Linked DNA regions of Drosophila melanogaster. The protein of the gene in region 2 interacts with the protein of the main gene of each other region in a pairwise test. Each region holds a gene or a part of one and is shown on either strand. Other genes may lie near its edges.

Region 1 (7,614 bases), 6.1 Mb from region 2:
TGTTCCTGAACAGGCATTTTTGGTTGGCAAGGAAAGTGTAATTAGTATACTACAAATATTTGTTTAGCACATAGTTTATGCTGATACTTTGAAGAGGAATTAAGTAGATTTTGTGTTATTTCTTTTCGAAGAATCTCAAAGGGCTTCGAAAATTTTCAATTTACTAAGTGCTCTAGGCAGCTTAGACGTGCTTTCTCGATAGGTTTTCCAATCAATAAGTAATGTATTGATGGGCTCGTTTTTTGCGCTTTTGCAAAACTTTCAGCAATTGCATGTGATTTTTTGTTGGCACTTTGACCTATTGACCTGCATGTCATGTCTGTAGCCAATTGAACATCTATATAAACTTCGCACACAACAAATTTAATATCTTAAATTTTGTATTCCTTTTGCAGCTGCAGTAAGCTTTCCACCAAACATGGCACCAATGCCCCGAATTCAGTTACCCAATGGAAATTCTTCCATAAAGGCTAGCACAAATGATTTTCTCTTTGCGGAAACAATGTCCGGCGACAGTAGTCCCACCCCCAGCAGTCCGCCATCCAGTACAGGTATGGATAACATTAAAATAATACATAGATTAGCTTACTAACGAAATTATGTTTTAAACTTCAGCAGGCGTTGCCAAATCTCAGTGTTCTTCCCTTTCGGATGGCGAATCCTTTGAGGGATATGGCGAAAATGAGTATCCCACCCAACTTCGCGAAGCCCGCAGCTCCAATTCCAATGGGAGCCATAATATGAGCAATCATATTAACAATAATTCTAATATCAGCGTGGGCAACAACAGTGGACACAACCACAGTGGACACTCGAACGATGGAAATAACAACCTAAATGGCAGCACTGGCGTCGAACTCGATTTGGCTCCACACGTCGGCTCATCAACACCTCAAGAGTAAGTTTTTGAAACATTTATATAGTGCGTTTCAAAAGTGTCATATCCATTTAACATTGCGATAAATTCAAAATATATACTTATGTATATGAACACAGTTGTTCTATAAACTGTTAATGAATTTATTGCATATAAATATGTAACTCCTGTAAAGCAAAGAACATTAGTCTTGCGGAATTACCTCTTGATTACTGTCAATTAATCTTTTAAACTAACTGACACTGAAACGCCTTGTGTATTTCCATTGTCACAACTGATGAGCATTTACTAACTCGATTTCGATTGTTGCAGTGATGACGAACTAAACATAATGCCCCGGGATAATTGGGCCAGGCGCAGTCTGCGACGAACTCCCACCAGGTAATCTCGCCCATTTTGATCGGATCACATCTCTTAAAATGGCAATCGAAGCGAATGCGAATTTGCTTAGTTGTCGGGCATTTATAAGGTTGCGCACATAATCCAGCTGAATACGTAATAGCCGTGAATATAAAATAAAGCTGACCAGGCCCAGAGACTTCATCAATTCAAAACTCTCAATTTGTCTGTCCGAGGCAGCATAAAAAAAGCGTATTTGAATAGTTAACCTTTTCTTTGTGTAAACCTGTGTCTGTTGGTTTCAACGCATGTATGTGTGGCATGAAAAATGCATACACAGACTGAAACCAGTTTTTTCTATGCTCTGACTTGGGCTCATGAATCGCTTTGGGCCGTGATTCATGCGTGTCTCTGTCTTCGGGTCTCGGAATCTCTCACAACTCAGCGATCGTGCCTCTCTTTCTGGTCGTGTTCCGCCGTCTCTTTTACTCTATTTCCGCCTTTGTTCAACAAGTTGCCATAGCCGTGGTGAATTCACAGTTCAACTGATCGTAAGAGAGTGCAACAATTCTCTTAAATTATACAGTGATGAGTGTTACCTAGTTATAGCTAGAATAAATCATTTATTTAAATAACAATTTTATATAATTATATTGGCAATTTTAAATAATTCTAAATAACTGCCTATATAAATATTTGGAAAATTAGGCGTAAATTTCATTCTATATATGAACTTATATAAAAGAAAATAAGATGATTAGAAAGATTGCTATATTGCTATGTTTCTATTGCGGTTAAAACTGAACCGAATAAGACTATTATTAGATATCCCAATTGATAAAAATTTTTCTTACAGCAATCCTGATAGTTTATCCCAGCGTCGTTGGGGATCCATGAGACAGTAAGCACCCTTGAATATAATTTCTTTCGGGGTTTCATGTAGAGCTTCATATAAATCATAACCCCCATTCTTGCTCCATTTTGGTTTTGGTTTTTTGATTTGTAAATAAAAATATTTATAATTTATCTTAATTAAAAAAATTATTGGTGCACTGCTCCTTAAAAAATATATATATATAGTTTTTAATTCAGTATTTGTCCTCATCACATTTGATGTTTTCACAAGCGTTTCCATGACTTCGCTTATCTAAGATTGTTAATTTCAGCTATAAGTTGCCTTTGGTTTTTTTCCCAATTTTCCATTAGCTGGTTTGCTCAATTGCTTGTTTTTCTTCTGCCTAAATTAGTTATCAGTTTTTCCCATCTTATTCGCCTGTTTCAATTGTTGTACAACTACATAGATGTTCAATTGGGCAATTTTCAAGAGCTTTCCTAACGCTGCCACCCCCAAAAACTAAAATTTATGATTATTGCCGGCGGGGGAGGCTGTCATAAAAGTTACAACCGAAAAAAAAATTGCTCTCTTTTCTGGGACTTAATTGCAACTGAAACCAAAACGAAAGTAAAATAAATATATCAGATTAACAGCATGAGATTTATGTTAGTACAATGAGAGAGCTCCAAGATGGAATCTGCTGCAATTTATATAACTTCCTTTGGCAGTTCTGCTTGTCAACTGGCGACCGTGCTTCCTGCTGCCATCTTCTTGAGCCAAAAGTAGTTTGGCCGCTTTTGTGAACTTTTCTCGGGGACCGAGCGAAAAGGTTGAAGGTAGAAGATGCGGGTCTTTTCTTGTCTCCCCTCAATTTAGCCAACTCCTTCCCTCTTGATGTGGCTTACAAGTTGGCTGACTCGATGGGGTTGTCATGCTGTTGGAATTTATTTTTTCGCTCATCCGATCGGAGGAAGTGAAGTGAGAGGGTTCCAGAAACAGGTTTAACTTGCCGCAATTGTTAACTCTTCAGAATTTAGGCCGGCACTTTTGTCAAGTCGCGAACAAAATTTGACCCAAAATAAAACTCAGTCTGCTGATGTTATCGATTCTGACACATTTATCTCGTATCGTTATGTACTGTTATATACTTTTGATCATTTTGATCATTAAACTAAGGCTGTAATAGTTAGATCATTACTAGAGCATCGATCAATATCGATTAGCATTTCAATTATTAAACAAATTTTTTTCATAAACATTTCTTCGAAAATTATGCACGAAATCGGATAAAGTAATTAAAATCGTCTGCATTTAAGGCGTGTGCAAATCAGTTAACCCCACGCAGGCTATAAATTGTGGTTGCTCTGTCAACTTTCCGGACCTTGATGTTCTTCCCATGGCTTCTACTCTTTTCGAAGCAACTACAACTTGGGCCGACTTGAATTTGTCATGCAAATGCCTTTGTTTTTGCTCCGCTGCTGGGAACATGTTTTTCCCACTCTCTGCACTTGGCATTCAAAAAAGCTGCACTGGGAAATGGTGGGGGAAAATGCATTAAAGAACCGAGAACAATTAGGGAAAATTGTGGGAAGAGGTTAAAGATTTTTATCTGAAAAAGGAAAGGGAATGAGTGGAATTCTACAATTATTTTCTTTAAAAGAACGAATATTTTTCCACATAGGAACATTTTAAATGTTGTCATTTGAATTCAGTCTAGCAAGCAAAGAAAATACTTTTCAAATCACATTATAAAAGTGATAACATCACCGGTTGGTTATCCGTTTTAATACAACCTAAATTACAGATAGAAACTAACAAAAAGTCAGGCCCAAAATGTGGAACTATCGTCAGAAAGTTGATTTGGAAACATCGGTAAAGATATCGCCGTATTGCAATTCTTGGCCATCGGCTTGTTGGTTTACTCTTAAAGGCATTGATTTGTTGAAACTTCTGGTATTGGAAAGATCACCAACTTACCTGGTGATTCTTACGATTGTCCTTATCGTACTCCTCTTACTTGTATTTAAAAGATTCAAACACAAATGGAACGATGTAAGTTAAAGGGGGGGGAAAACGTACAGTAGAAGGGGCTTAATAGGGTTTTGTTCTAGGTGCCTATGTCGGAGATTGAGTCACTGAGAAAACGTGTTAAGTTTGTAACCAAGGATATGGCCATGCTGCAAGAAGCCCTAAATTCGACCGTAATACCCAAGCCGCCGCTAGCGATTTCTGATGATATTAGGAGTAATATTAATTACTTGGATGAACCAGAGTCCAACGCAAATGATGACAAACTTTCAGAATTTAAAGAAATCTTTGATCCTTTCCCCCCAGAATTCGACAAAATTAGTGAAACTAAAGCGCTAGTACGAGAAGAAAATAAACCGGAGCCTGTGATTCCAGACGCCGAACCTCGAGAAGATTCCGTAGTAAAAAATAGGGTGCGATTTGCTCTAACAGATCAGGGAAAACCAGCCAAAGATGAGACCAAGCACATTAATATAGCGAAACCCACGAAGATTATAGCTGAAAATAATGTATCCGTGGAAAATAGAAATATGCGTAAACGGTCATCTCCTTCAAACACGAAAACGGGATGGAAGCTCTAGATCTATTTTCAGGAATTTTCATATTGAAATTTCATTAAAATTGTAGTGCTCGAATTTGTAATAAACCATTCATAGTGATTTGTATAAAACTTGTTGTGATCGTAATTCATTATAGCCCTATGCCAACCTTGACATCTTGCCTTCGCAAGCGTTTTGGCTTTAAGTGATTTCCAATTGTCTTTCGTGGTAATTTTCACCTATTTCATTGTGTATCTCTGTTTTCCCGTGCATAGTTCCCAAGTCTACGTGGTTGGCCCTCAATTAGCCTTAAAGGTGGCCGGCTGCCTAATCGAGGCAGTTTCCAAGCCACTTTGCGGGGGCCCAACATTGTTTGGCAGTTGGCTTGCATTTCTTGGCTATTTGGCAGACCTGGCGACAATTTCCCGTTTTTTTCCCCCTGCATGTATTTGAATTATTTGGCAGCTGAAAACGGCTTGAAAGTACGTCTGTCGCCAATTTGGCTTCGGTTTTAGGTAATTGCCATCTATCTAATAGGTACATGAGAATGTTTATTGTTGGCCAGATTTGTAGATGTTGCATAGTTTTAGTTTTTAGTATCGCCGAACAACATGTTGGCAGCAAACAAGTTGCATGGGAAAGTGTATGGGATTGTAAAAGAGTTGCCAGATAAAAAAGAAAAACAGTACCATCATCAAAGACCTTTCAACATTACTAATGAGACTATAAATGTTGACTTAGGTGGCAACAAAGAATAGTAAATTAAATATTTAACAGTATTGAAATGTTATCTTAAAATATTATTTTTTAGTATATTATTTTAAGAAAAGAATATATTTATTGATATATGTGAAATCGTATTATTGAATGCTGAAAGAAGAGGAATTTGAATGAAGATGATTAGAATTAGAAATTATGTTATTAAATATATAAATTATAAATATTCTACCATTTTCTCTTAGGAATAAGCAAATATATTTCTCCATTTTCATTATAATTATATTTTTTTATGTCACAAATGATTGACATTTGTAAGTTCACACTCGCTGTGTAATTATTTTAGTCTGTCTGGCAAGTTCGAACTGCAACAATGGTTTTAGCCCTCTCCCACACACACTTGTTCGCTCTTTTGGCCTGCTTTTCCGTTTTGTTTATTATTTGGCTAGTTGGCTCTCTCGCATCGAACCTGTTTGCTGGTCGCCTTTAGATTGGAGCAGGCGGCTCAAAAGTCGGAATGTGGTATTCGGTTTTAGTTCGAACATCGCTGTAACCGCGTGCGGATGTCAGGAAATTTGTGTCGTCCTTTTTTGGCCTGATTTGATTATTTATTAATCGCCCGAGAGTCTGTGACTTGTGTTCCGGTGTAAAACCGAATAAAAATCATACAAAATTCCGCCGCATCCATTGAGAAAACCAAAGTATGTGAAAGTGTGTGTGTGTGTGTGTGGCATTTGTTTATATACAAATGTGTATATAGCATACATATGATTTTTGGGCGCACCAGACAACGCGGCGTATGCGAAACGTTTGTGCAAATAGATTTAATTGTGTTTTTTTTTGTCGGTTTTGTTTTTGGCTATAAATTTCGCTTTCCACGGAATAGAAAACGTTTTTAATTCGAGCTGCGCGCTTTTATGAGATTTCGTACATAGTTTTGTGCTGTAGTTTACACTTTGGTAATTTACGGCGTCACGCCTTAATGACGTCCAACTACCATCATAATAGCCACAATAACAAGCGCAGTCTTTGGCTATATACTGCACATTCCCATGCAAAATCGGAGGGTCTTCGCCGTCTTCTCGTGCGTTGTCCTCATCTCCATCTTCTTCGACATGTGTGTCTCGTCTTTTGCACGTGACTTTTCCCGGGGTTTCCACGGGCCCACGCCCTTTTGTGCTGCACTTTTCCCATGCATTCATCCAGATTAAGGCCCATTTGTACACAGACGGGTAAAAAAAGAGGTTGTTCAGAATGTATTAAAGTGTAGGGTTTGATACACAGGTGGTATTCCAATTCGAATAGACTTTCATTCATTTCTGAAAGTGCTTTATAAATAAACTATTACATGAATTAAAATAACGATTTTTATCTTATTTTGAGTGTACTACCAAAACAGTTCTTATTGAAAATCCAATTATTTGTTAACCACAAAGTTTTCCACGAAAAAAGAATAAAAAACCTCCAAGAGCGTGTTTGATAATTCCTAAAGCATACTAAAATATTGATAAACAACTCAGAACTGGTGTTAGTTATGTTGGATCATTTGAATTTTAAATTGTGAGAAAGTTATTAAAATATTGCATACACAAGTTAATGTTTAAAGCTGCGTATTCTTTTACAAAATAAATAACATTTTAAAGTAATTTGAACTTTAGCTTTCTAATAAAGTATATGTTTTAATCATTTCCTTTAACATTACACACTTATTTCAACACCTTTTATAAGCAGTAACGACATGGCCAATCAACCGAATCTCTAGATTGCGTTTAGATCTAAAAGAGTAATCGACTTTTTAAAGTGCTTTCGTTTCCATCTATTGCCACACTCATCGCATCATCTTCAACTGGGCTCTATAGCGTTTCATCCCTTTTCTACACTCGCATTGTCGAGAGTCATCAATCAAAATCGAATCAGTTTTATATCGCCTTAATTATCCGAAGAGCAGCCATATAAATGCTGCCCGTTCGCGGCTGTACGATTTCATTGTTAGTTGGTCAGTGCAGTCGAGAGTGCAGTTTGGCTGCAATTTTCTTTCTTTTCGATTTTTGAGTTTGTGTTCGTTTTCGATTTCGCTGGCAGAGAGCGTTTAACGACGTTATCAGAGCGATTTCCAGCAGCGTGTTGGCTAAATATTAACCATCTCATCCGCTCATCGAGTGCAAAAATTGCGGCTTGGCTTGGATGTTCGGCTTGAGAAGACTCGTAATGAAAAGTGAAGTGTGGCTGGCGGATCCGTCAATTGCGAAAGTGTGTCTAATTTGCCGATGATGAGTGCG
Region 2 (7,803 bases):
GCTCAATCAGGATAACCTCCGGGCTGATATTGGAATCGGTAATGGAATACTTCTAAAGCGTTTTGAACGCGAGCTGCAAAATCTCAAGCGTATGGCTGACTACTCATCCAAGGACACGGCCAAGATGCACCAATTTCTCTCGGAGATCGGTACTGATTACTGCACCTACACGTATGCCATGCTGAATGCTGGAATTGACAAGTGTGCACTGCCGCATGTCAATGAGGATATGCTGATGACAGAGTGTGGCATCCACAACTCGATCCATCGTCTGAGAATTCTCAATGCGGTCAAAAACTTGGAGAATTCGCTGCCCAGCTCGTCGGAGGAGAACATGGCCAAGACGCTAGATGTTTTCGTTAGCTATAGGCGATCAAACGGCTCCCAACTAGCCAGTCTTCTCAAGGTGCGTATACTTAATGTGGTTGAGAAGGGCATAACCACTTACAAGATCCCATTCGTTACAGGTGCATCTGCAGCTTCGTGGTTTCTCCGTTTTCATCGACGTGGAGCGCCTGGAGGCGGGCAAATTTGACAACGGCCTATTGAACAGTATTCGACAGGCAAAGAACTTTGTCTTAGTATTAACTCCCGATGCCCTGCACCGCTGCATTAACGACGAGGACTGCAAGGACTGGGTGCATCGCGTGAGTACCGCATTTGCCGATCGACCTTTAACCAATAGGTACTCATAAGGGGATACTCGTTTCGCAGGAAATCGTGGCTGCCCTGAACTCGAACTGCAACATTATACCCATCATAGACCAGCAATTCGATTGGCCCGAGGTGGAGCGACTTCCCGAGGACATGCGCAGTGTGGCCCATTTTAACGGTGTTAATTGGATCCACGACTACCAGGACGCATGCATCGATAAGCTCGAAAGGTACATTAAGCGACGCATTTAGATCTGGATTAGCCTGGGACTAGGACGATGGATAACTCCATTACCGATTACCTTAAGCCTGAATAACCCAGAATACTTCACAACTAAACACTTAAACGATTCCCATTCTTCTGATGCGGCAGATTTTTGCGCGGCGAAAAGAATATCGATCGCATTGCGGCGATGGTGCCCGGCACCCCCGGTTCGGTCTCATACCAAAGAATGCACAGCAACGACTCCGACTACCAGAGCGGAGGAGCAGGCGCCGGATCAGGAGCAGGAACTGGAGGAGGAGGTGGTGGCGGCGTTACGGGCAGTGTGGTGGATGGCCTGATGGTGGCGGCCAATGGCAGCGGACAAGGTGGGCCAACGAGTACTACATCTACTACTTCTTCTACTCCCAACTCAAATTCAAGCTCAAGCTCTAACCAGAGTCCCCCAGCGGCTCCAGCGTAGAGTGAGCCAAGTTATGCTAACGATTTACAGAGCTAGCCAACTCGAATATGTTCTAGGCTTAAGCAGAGATCCTCAAGTCACACTCTCTAGTACAACTCTCTCTCACTTTCTACCCCCACCCATACACCTACTACTTTCTCACTCAACTCAAGCAACCCATTACAACTACACTATCCATTACTCTTTACTCTTACCAATTAATAATTGATTTAATTCTGATTGCCACACACTCGAAATCGCTTGAAACGCCGTCTCATGCGCAGCTAATCACCAGGCAAATAGGTACCGCCAATCTCCCTCACCGGCCCGCCAAAGGGGCAGCACCTCGCAGTTGAGTGGTTATTCTCGGGCGCCCTCGAAACGCTCCCAAATCCTCACCCCGTATCGCACCCAACAGGCAGCCCTGCTCCACAAAACCGGAGCGGGTTCCGCGTCCATGCAGAATATGATGCCATTGGCGTATCTGCCTCCGCGGAGGAGTTCCGCCGCGGGATTAGGTCATGGATCTGGTTCCGGCATGGGCAGTGGCTATCGATCGCACAGTGTGGATGGGCTTCTAGATCAGGCGGGCTCAACTCCAGAGCAAAGAATAGCAGCAGCTGCGGCCAAGGTGACAGCGGGTAGTACAGCTCTAACGAACGCCAGTTCCACAAGCACTCTGCAGCCCGAAGAAGAGGTGACGGATGCCGCCCTCAATGACTCGGTGACCCGGCGTGACAAGCATACTTTATCCCCACCGGGAAATGTACAGCAGCACAGAAAGTCCCGAAGTCTGGATCATATTCTCAGCAAACAGACTTTAGCAGAGCTGCTTCCACCGAGTAGCGAACTCGCAGATGGAACGCAAAGTATGCAAAACCTGGCCATTCCAATGACCCCGCAGCCCCAACGAAGGGACACCAGCTCCTCCTCGAAATCCCCCACTCCCGAAAGACCTCCGCAACCAGCGATGGAAAGGGTAAGGGAACGCCAGAGTCCTGAGGGTGTGAGTGCGACGGAAAGCGAGCGGGAGGATCAGCCAGAAGAATGTCTGCGACATGGCAACCAACAGAGGGCATCTGCCTCGGTTCATCGGGGAGCCAGTTTGACCAGCAACAAGACCTCCAACTCCTCACTGGGCTCCAACTTTAGTGCCGGAGGAAACAACAAGACGATATTTAATCGAACGATGAAGAAGGTCCGCTCGCTGATAAAAAAGTAAGCCATAACGAGGAGGCAGAGAGACGAGATGGACCGGGACTCGATGTCCCCACTCGTCGCTCGTCACTCGCTATCTGCTCAATATTACTGTTATCCATCATTTCACGATCTGATTTCACCACTAAGTTTCTTCATCTAAATTTAACTGGTAACGCTTCGGATAAAAGATTTCAGATGTTACTTCGAAAGAAATCAGATTGTGAAAAGGTGCTTCTAGTTACTCGCCAATCGCCCACTAAGTGCCTGTTAACCCGTTTCTCGCCACTCGCTGCATTTGTGCCATCTAAAAAGAATCTCATCCAATCACGCATTCATCCACCCCCTGGGGACCCTTACAACCTTTCTACCTCCACTCGCTGACTCTACTTCTCTTTCTCTGGTGTTGGTACTCGTTCGCTATTTTTACTCGCCACTCGTTGACTCGTTTCGCTAAGCATCCACTAAAACTCGCCTGCGTTGCCCAAAAAATATATACGAACGCCCCTCCCCCGCCAATTTCTATATCTTCAAACTCTATTTGCCTTGTGATTAGTTGTTGATTTTGATAATTATTTTTTTATTGAAAAATAAGTAAGCGAATTTAAATTGCGAAAACTAATTTATGAAAAGAAAAATACAATTAACGACTGCATAAATACGAAACCTAATTTATAGAACACAAAACAGAAACCATCTAATTCTAAACACTACAAGAAACAAAAATATATTGGAGAGCGAAAACACTCTATATTTAAAATGCTATTTATAAATAATATGTTTAAAAATTTGTACATTTTTCGCGAATGCAACATGTTCTTGTAACCGTCCGCAAAACGTAAACTAAAAATTGCAAAATTTAAAATTAACCCGTGTGGCTTAAAACGAAAATATTTACATAAGTGATATTTAAACTACGTATAATCGAAATTTACTTAATGCAAAATTTTTACAACAAAACATGCTGTACAAACCTAATTTTTAGCGCAGGAGTTTTTAAGGCATATTTTTATTGATTTTTGCAATATATATTTAATATTTAAATAGTGCCTAAAGTTAAATACGAAAGCCGAAAAAATCGAAATACATACAAAAAAAAAAGGAAATAAAATGTGACTTAATTCAAACTAAATGTGTATTATTGGCCCTATTTAGCCCTGTTCCCCTGCTTAATCAGTCCATACTATATCATCAATCGCATGTACCGATATTATACGTTTTGTTCAATGTTTGTATTGCGTTCTGCATTTGAATTTGTGTTTGTGCCTTTAATGGAATTCGAAATGTTTTATTTGTATATATCTTATCACTTTTATTTCTTCCCTCTTTCTTTCTCTATATCCGGACTTTTTTGTAGACCATAAAAGCGAAATTGGCTACCGCAATCCGTTGTAACTGTTGTTATCGTTGTGCCTGTTGTACTGCCCCCGCCCACAAAAGCACCCACCCACCAAATCGAATCGATTTCGATTTCGAAAAACCCATCATCGCACACCGTGAGATTAATACGATGCCTACACTCAGCATCCGCCGTCTCGACAACCAACATTCATTGTTATTTATTACCAAGCAAGCAACAAAAAAAAGAAAGAAAGCAATCAAAGCAAATAGCGATACCAATAAACGTGTATATAATTGCATAAATCGAAAGAGTCCTGTCAAACATTTTTTAATTTGTATCTTACCCATACCTCCTCCCACTCGAAACAGCAACGAAATGGAGGACGAGGAACTTTCGGGCATCATTCTGTCCAAGGCCACCTCCCCCAATGCCGGGCGCATGATATTTTGGTAAATGATGGACCATCCCCCACCTGACACACATTCAGTCACACAAACGTATCGAATTTTTGTAAATATTTAATAAAACAAAAAACAAATAAAACGAACGATCTGAAACTCGAAATCATGTTGTTATCTAAACATCTTGAACTTACAAATACAAAAAACTACAATTTGCAAAAGTTCTAAAAAGTTTTTGAACATTATTTAAAGACAGGTTTGTATATAATTTATGAAATTAGCCTAAAATATAGCTTTTAAGACATTCCTTTAAGCAACATAAGCTAATAGCTGCAATCTATAATAGTGATGCTGCGCATATGACTTTCAAAACCGACCAGTGTGTCCACACCAGAAAAGTTGAATTCATACGAAATCAAGCAATATGTGAACTCAATTCAGCCCTGAAATGGAAAGTTTCACATTCCTTTTTCTGTCATTTGCACTACGGCATTGTCAGGGAACGTGTTCATTTGGTACCACATTTTTTCATATATTGGTCATAATCGGTTCCAGTTCATATCGCTTCCGATTTTTTGAAAAATAAAAAGGTACAAATATTCCAATATGTCCGACAATACCGAGAGCAAACTTGCGCTAGACCCGTGCGATGTGATCGTCTTTGAGGGACCATTCAACCGCTCGGTGAGCAGGAAGCTAGTCATCAAGAACACCAGTAAGACCCAGCGAATGGCCTTCAAGATGAAGACCACCACTCCAAAACTTTTTTATGTACGCCCCAACATCGGTGTCTTGGGGCCCGAGCAGAAGGTCAGCGTTGACATATTCATGCAGCCAATTCTGCAGGAGCAGATAAAGAAGCGTCATAAGTTCCTTCTCCTGGCCGCCGAGGTGACTGGTGACATAAGCGATGTGCAGGAGTTTTGGAAGATGCAGAACCCGAATGAAACTCGGGAAACCAAGATCAAATGTGAGCTAGTCCCTTCGAAGGAGGACGATTTCCGTCAGGCGGGAGGTTCAGCTGTAATATCCACGGACAACAAGGACGGAGAGGTCCATTTTGATGCCCAGGAAGTCAGTGAGCCAATGGCCAAGTTGCTCAAGCAAGTCAGCATGCTGGAGGACGAGCATATGGCCCTCACAGACCAGATCGACGGCTTGCGTGACCAGGCGATTGGGCGCACTTTCTTCTACATGGCCGCCATAGTAATCATTATACTGTCCGCTGTCGCAGGCGCCTATTATGGCAAGACTCGTTTGTAAATTCCTTATCATGGCAGTTTTTAGAACATAAGGCAGTAAATTGCACCGAAATTGTACGAAAATTATTTGTCAATAAAGGACATTTTGGTTGCATATTCTATTTTGAGATAGATAATTAGTTTATGCTTGTATACCAATAAATGCGTAAGATGTTATATTCTCACTTTACTAGAAGTAAATAAGTTTAAAATAGGAAATGTCGAATAAAAATAAATTTTTTCAAAACAATTTAAAATGCTTTTTCCTATTTCACTTTATGAAGAGACAAAAAGTAAACTTATTAAAATTTCTGTGAATAACACGTCAAGTTTGATCCAACTTCTACAGGCAAGGCGTATAGGTGTATAGCACTTGCTAAAATTTAGAACTTCTTTTTCAATTCCCGCCAAGACGGGACCACCTGTCTAGGCCAGTGCTGTGAAGCGCGCGTGGCCACAGAGCTCGGCAACCCTGCAGCCGTGCGAAAGCGAATGTGGTGAAGAAAAAAAAAACAGCGAAATACACACGTATTTTGCGACGAAATTAAATAGAATTCCTGCTAAGGGGTATAAGGACACTTGAAGGATGTCTGCGCGAATGCTGAAGAAGCTGCAGGGCGACGCTGACAAGCTGGCGCCACCGCCCGATGACGAGGACTGCGAGGAGCTGAGCGACAATGATGAACTGGAGGACAGCGATATGCAACGCTATCGAAAATCACACCTTAATCCATTCGATTTGGTAGGCCGCTATTAAAAAATAGCCAGCTCATCACCGAATGAACTGCATAATCCTCCGTTCCCACAAATTTTCTAGCTCAATCAAGCCGGTTTGAGTCTCTCGGAGAGTGAGTTCAAAGAAGATGACAATGAAACGGAGCATCCGTCTGCTGCCCTGCCCAATGCTACTGCCAGTGCGGCCAAAAAGAAGAAAAAGAAGCGCAAGAAGAAGGCCAAGTCCAGTGGGAATCACATCAGCAGCGAAGATAACGAGCGTCAGGATAAGTACTTTGAGAAGGTGGATCCGCTCCTTGGCAAGGTCTACGATGCGGTGCCCAGACAGTCGGCGAAACAGTTGGTATCGGCTGCCACCGGGACTACTGCCACCAAGAAACTGCTGGCCGTAGAGCTACGGCACCTGAATCCACAGAACGAGATGCGTCGCACTTTTGGCAAGCGGGTGGTAAAAGTGGAGTAAGTTTGGAGTGCCTGGGCTAAGAACTTCCATTCTGAAACTTAACTCTTGCAATCAAACTTTCTTTCAGAACCAAGCGTGGCAGGCAGAAGCCCACGCTGAAGTCCACCTATATGGTGACCGCCAAGGATTCGTGGCCGGCACTGACTAAAAACACCATCACGATGAAGCTGCTGCCCGCCCCAGACTCTCCATCGGTGTCCTCCAAGTCTATCACAGATAATGGAGCGGACGTTCAATGGTTTGCCTTTGAGCATAGCCAATACTACCAGGGAGTGCAGCAAATGTTCCTTTCTGCTCTCGAGCGCATTGACTCGGAATTTCTGATCACACTTATCAAACGCTGCCCCTATCATGTCGACTCCTTGGTTCAACTCAGCGAAGTATGCAAGATGACCGAAGACTTTTCCTTGGCCTCCGAACTGCTTGAGCGCGCCCTTCTCCTTCTGGAATCGTCGCTGCACATCAACTTCAGTTTGACGTCGGGCAACTGCCGACTGGACTACCGGAGACAGGAAAACCGATCCTTCTACATCGTGCTGTTCAAGCACGCGCAGTACCTGGAGGAACGAGCTTGCAGCCGCACCGCCTTCGAGATCTCCAAACTGCTCCTGAGTCTTCAGCCAGACACAGATCCTCTTGCCATGATTCTAGTGATTGACTACTATGCCTTGCGCAGCAAGCAGTTTGAATGGTTGGTAGAGTTCTATGAAAAGTATAACGCCGCGAGGAACCTCAATCAGCTGCCCAATATGGCCTACTCGTATGCTTTGGCTCTACACACGCTCTATGGCGCTTGTGAACGCTCTAACCAGGCACTGCAATACGCCCTACTAATGTTCCCGGGTGTTTTACGTCCTCTTTTGGACGAGATGTCGGTGCAAACGGACAAGAGGGTCCTGGCCTCATCGTACTTCTTTGCAGATGTGTCGGGCAAGTAAGTGGAGTCTTATCTCCGTGAATGATTAGTGGTATGGAATTTAATGTCTTATCTTGTTTACCAGTCAATCGCCCGCCCTGCACCAGCTGGTGTGCCTGTATGTGTGCCGTGCAAGAGTCGTTTGGCGTCAGAACGAGGTGCTACCCTGGTTGGAATCCAACGTGAACA

What was found.
Region 1: the proteins of fan (region 2) and saturn interact in a two-hybrid assay, tested with the Drosophila melanogaster proteins (one large-scale study listed by BioGRID).

Annotation. Positions count from the first base shown.
Region 1 is NT_037436.4:14,199,550-14,207,163, forward strand, and holds saturn (saturn), read left to right. Parts: upstream 1-3,773; 5' UTR 3,774-3,884; coding exon 3,885-4,103; intron 4,104-4,162; coding exon 4,163-4,660; 3' UTR 4,661-4,745; downstream 4,746-7,614.
Region 2 is NT_037436.4:8,104,413-8,112,215, forward strand, and holds fan (farinelli), read left to right. Parts: upstream 1-4,719; 5' UTR 4,720-4,865; coding exon 4,866-5,522; 3' UTR 5,523-5,631; downstream 5,632-7,803. Other genes in the region: Sarm (sterile alpha and armadillo motif), read left to right, coding at 1-406, 468-647, 715-884, 1,028-1,245, 1,604-2,537, 4,227-4,311; Nulp1 (nuclear localized protein 1), read left to right, coding at 6,087-6,242, 6,318-6,694, 6,766-7,632, 7,700-7,803.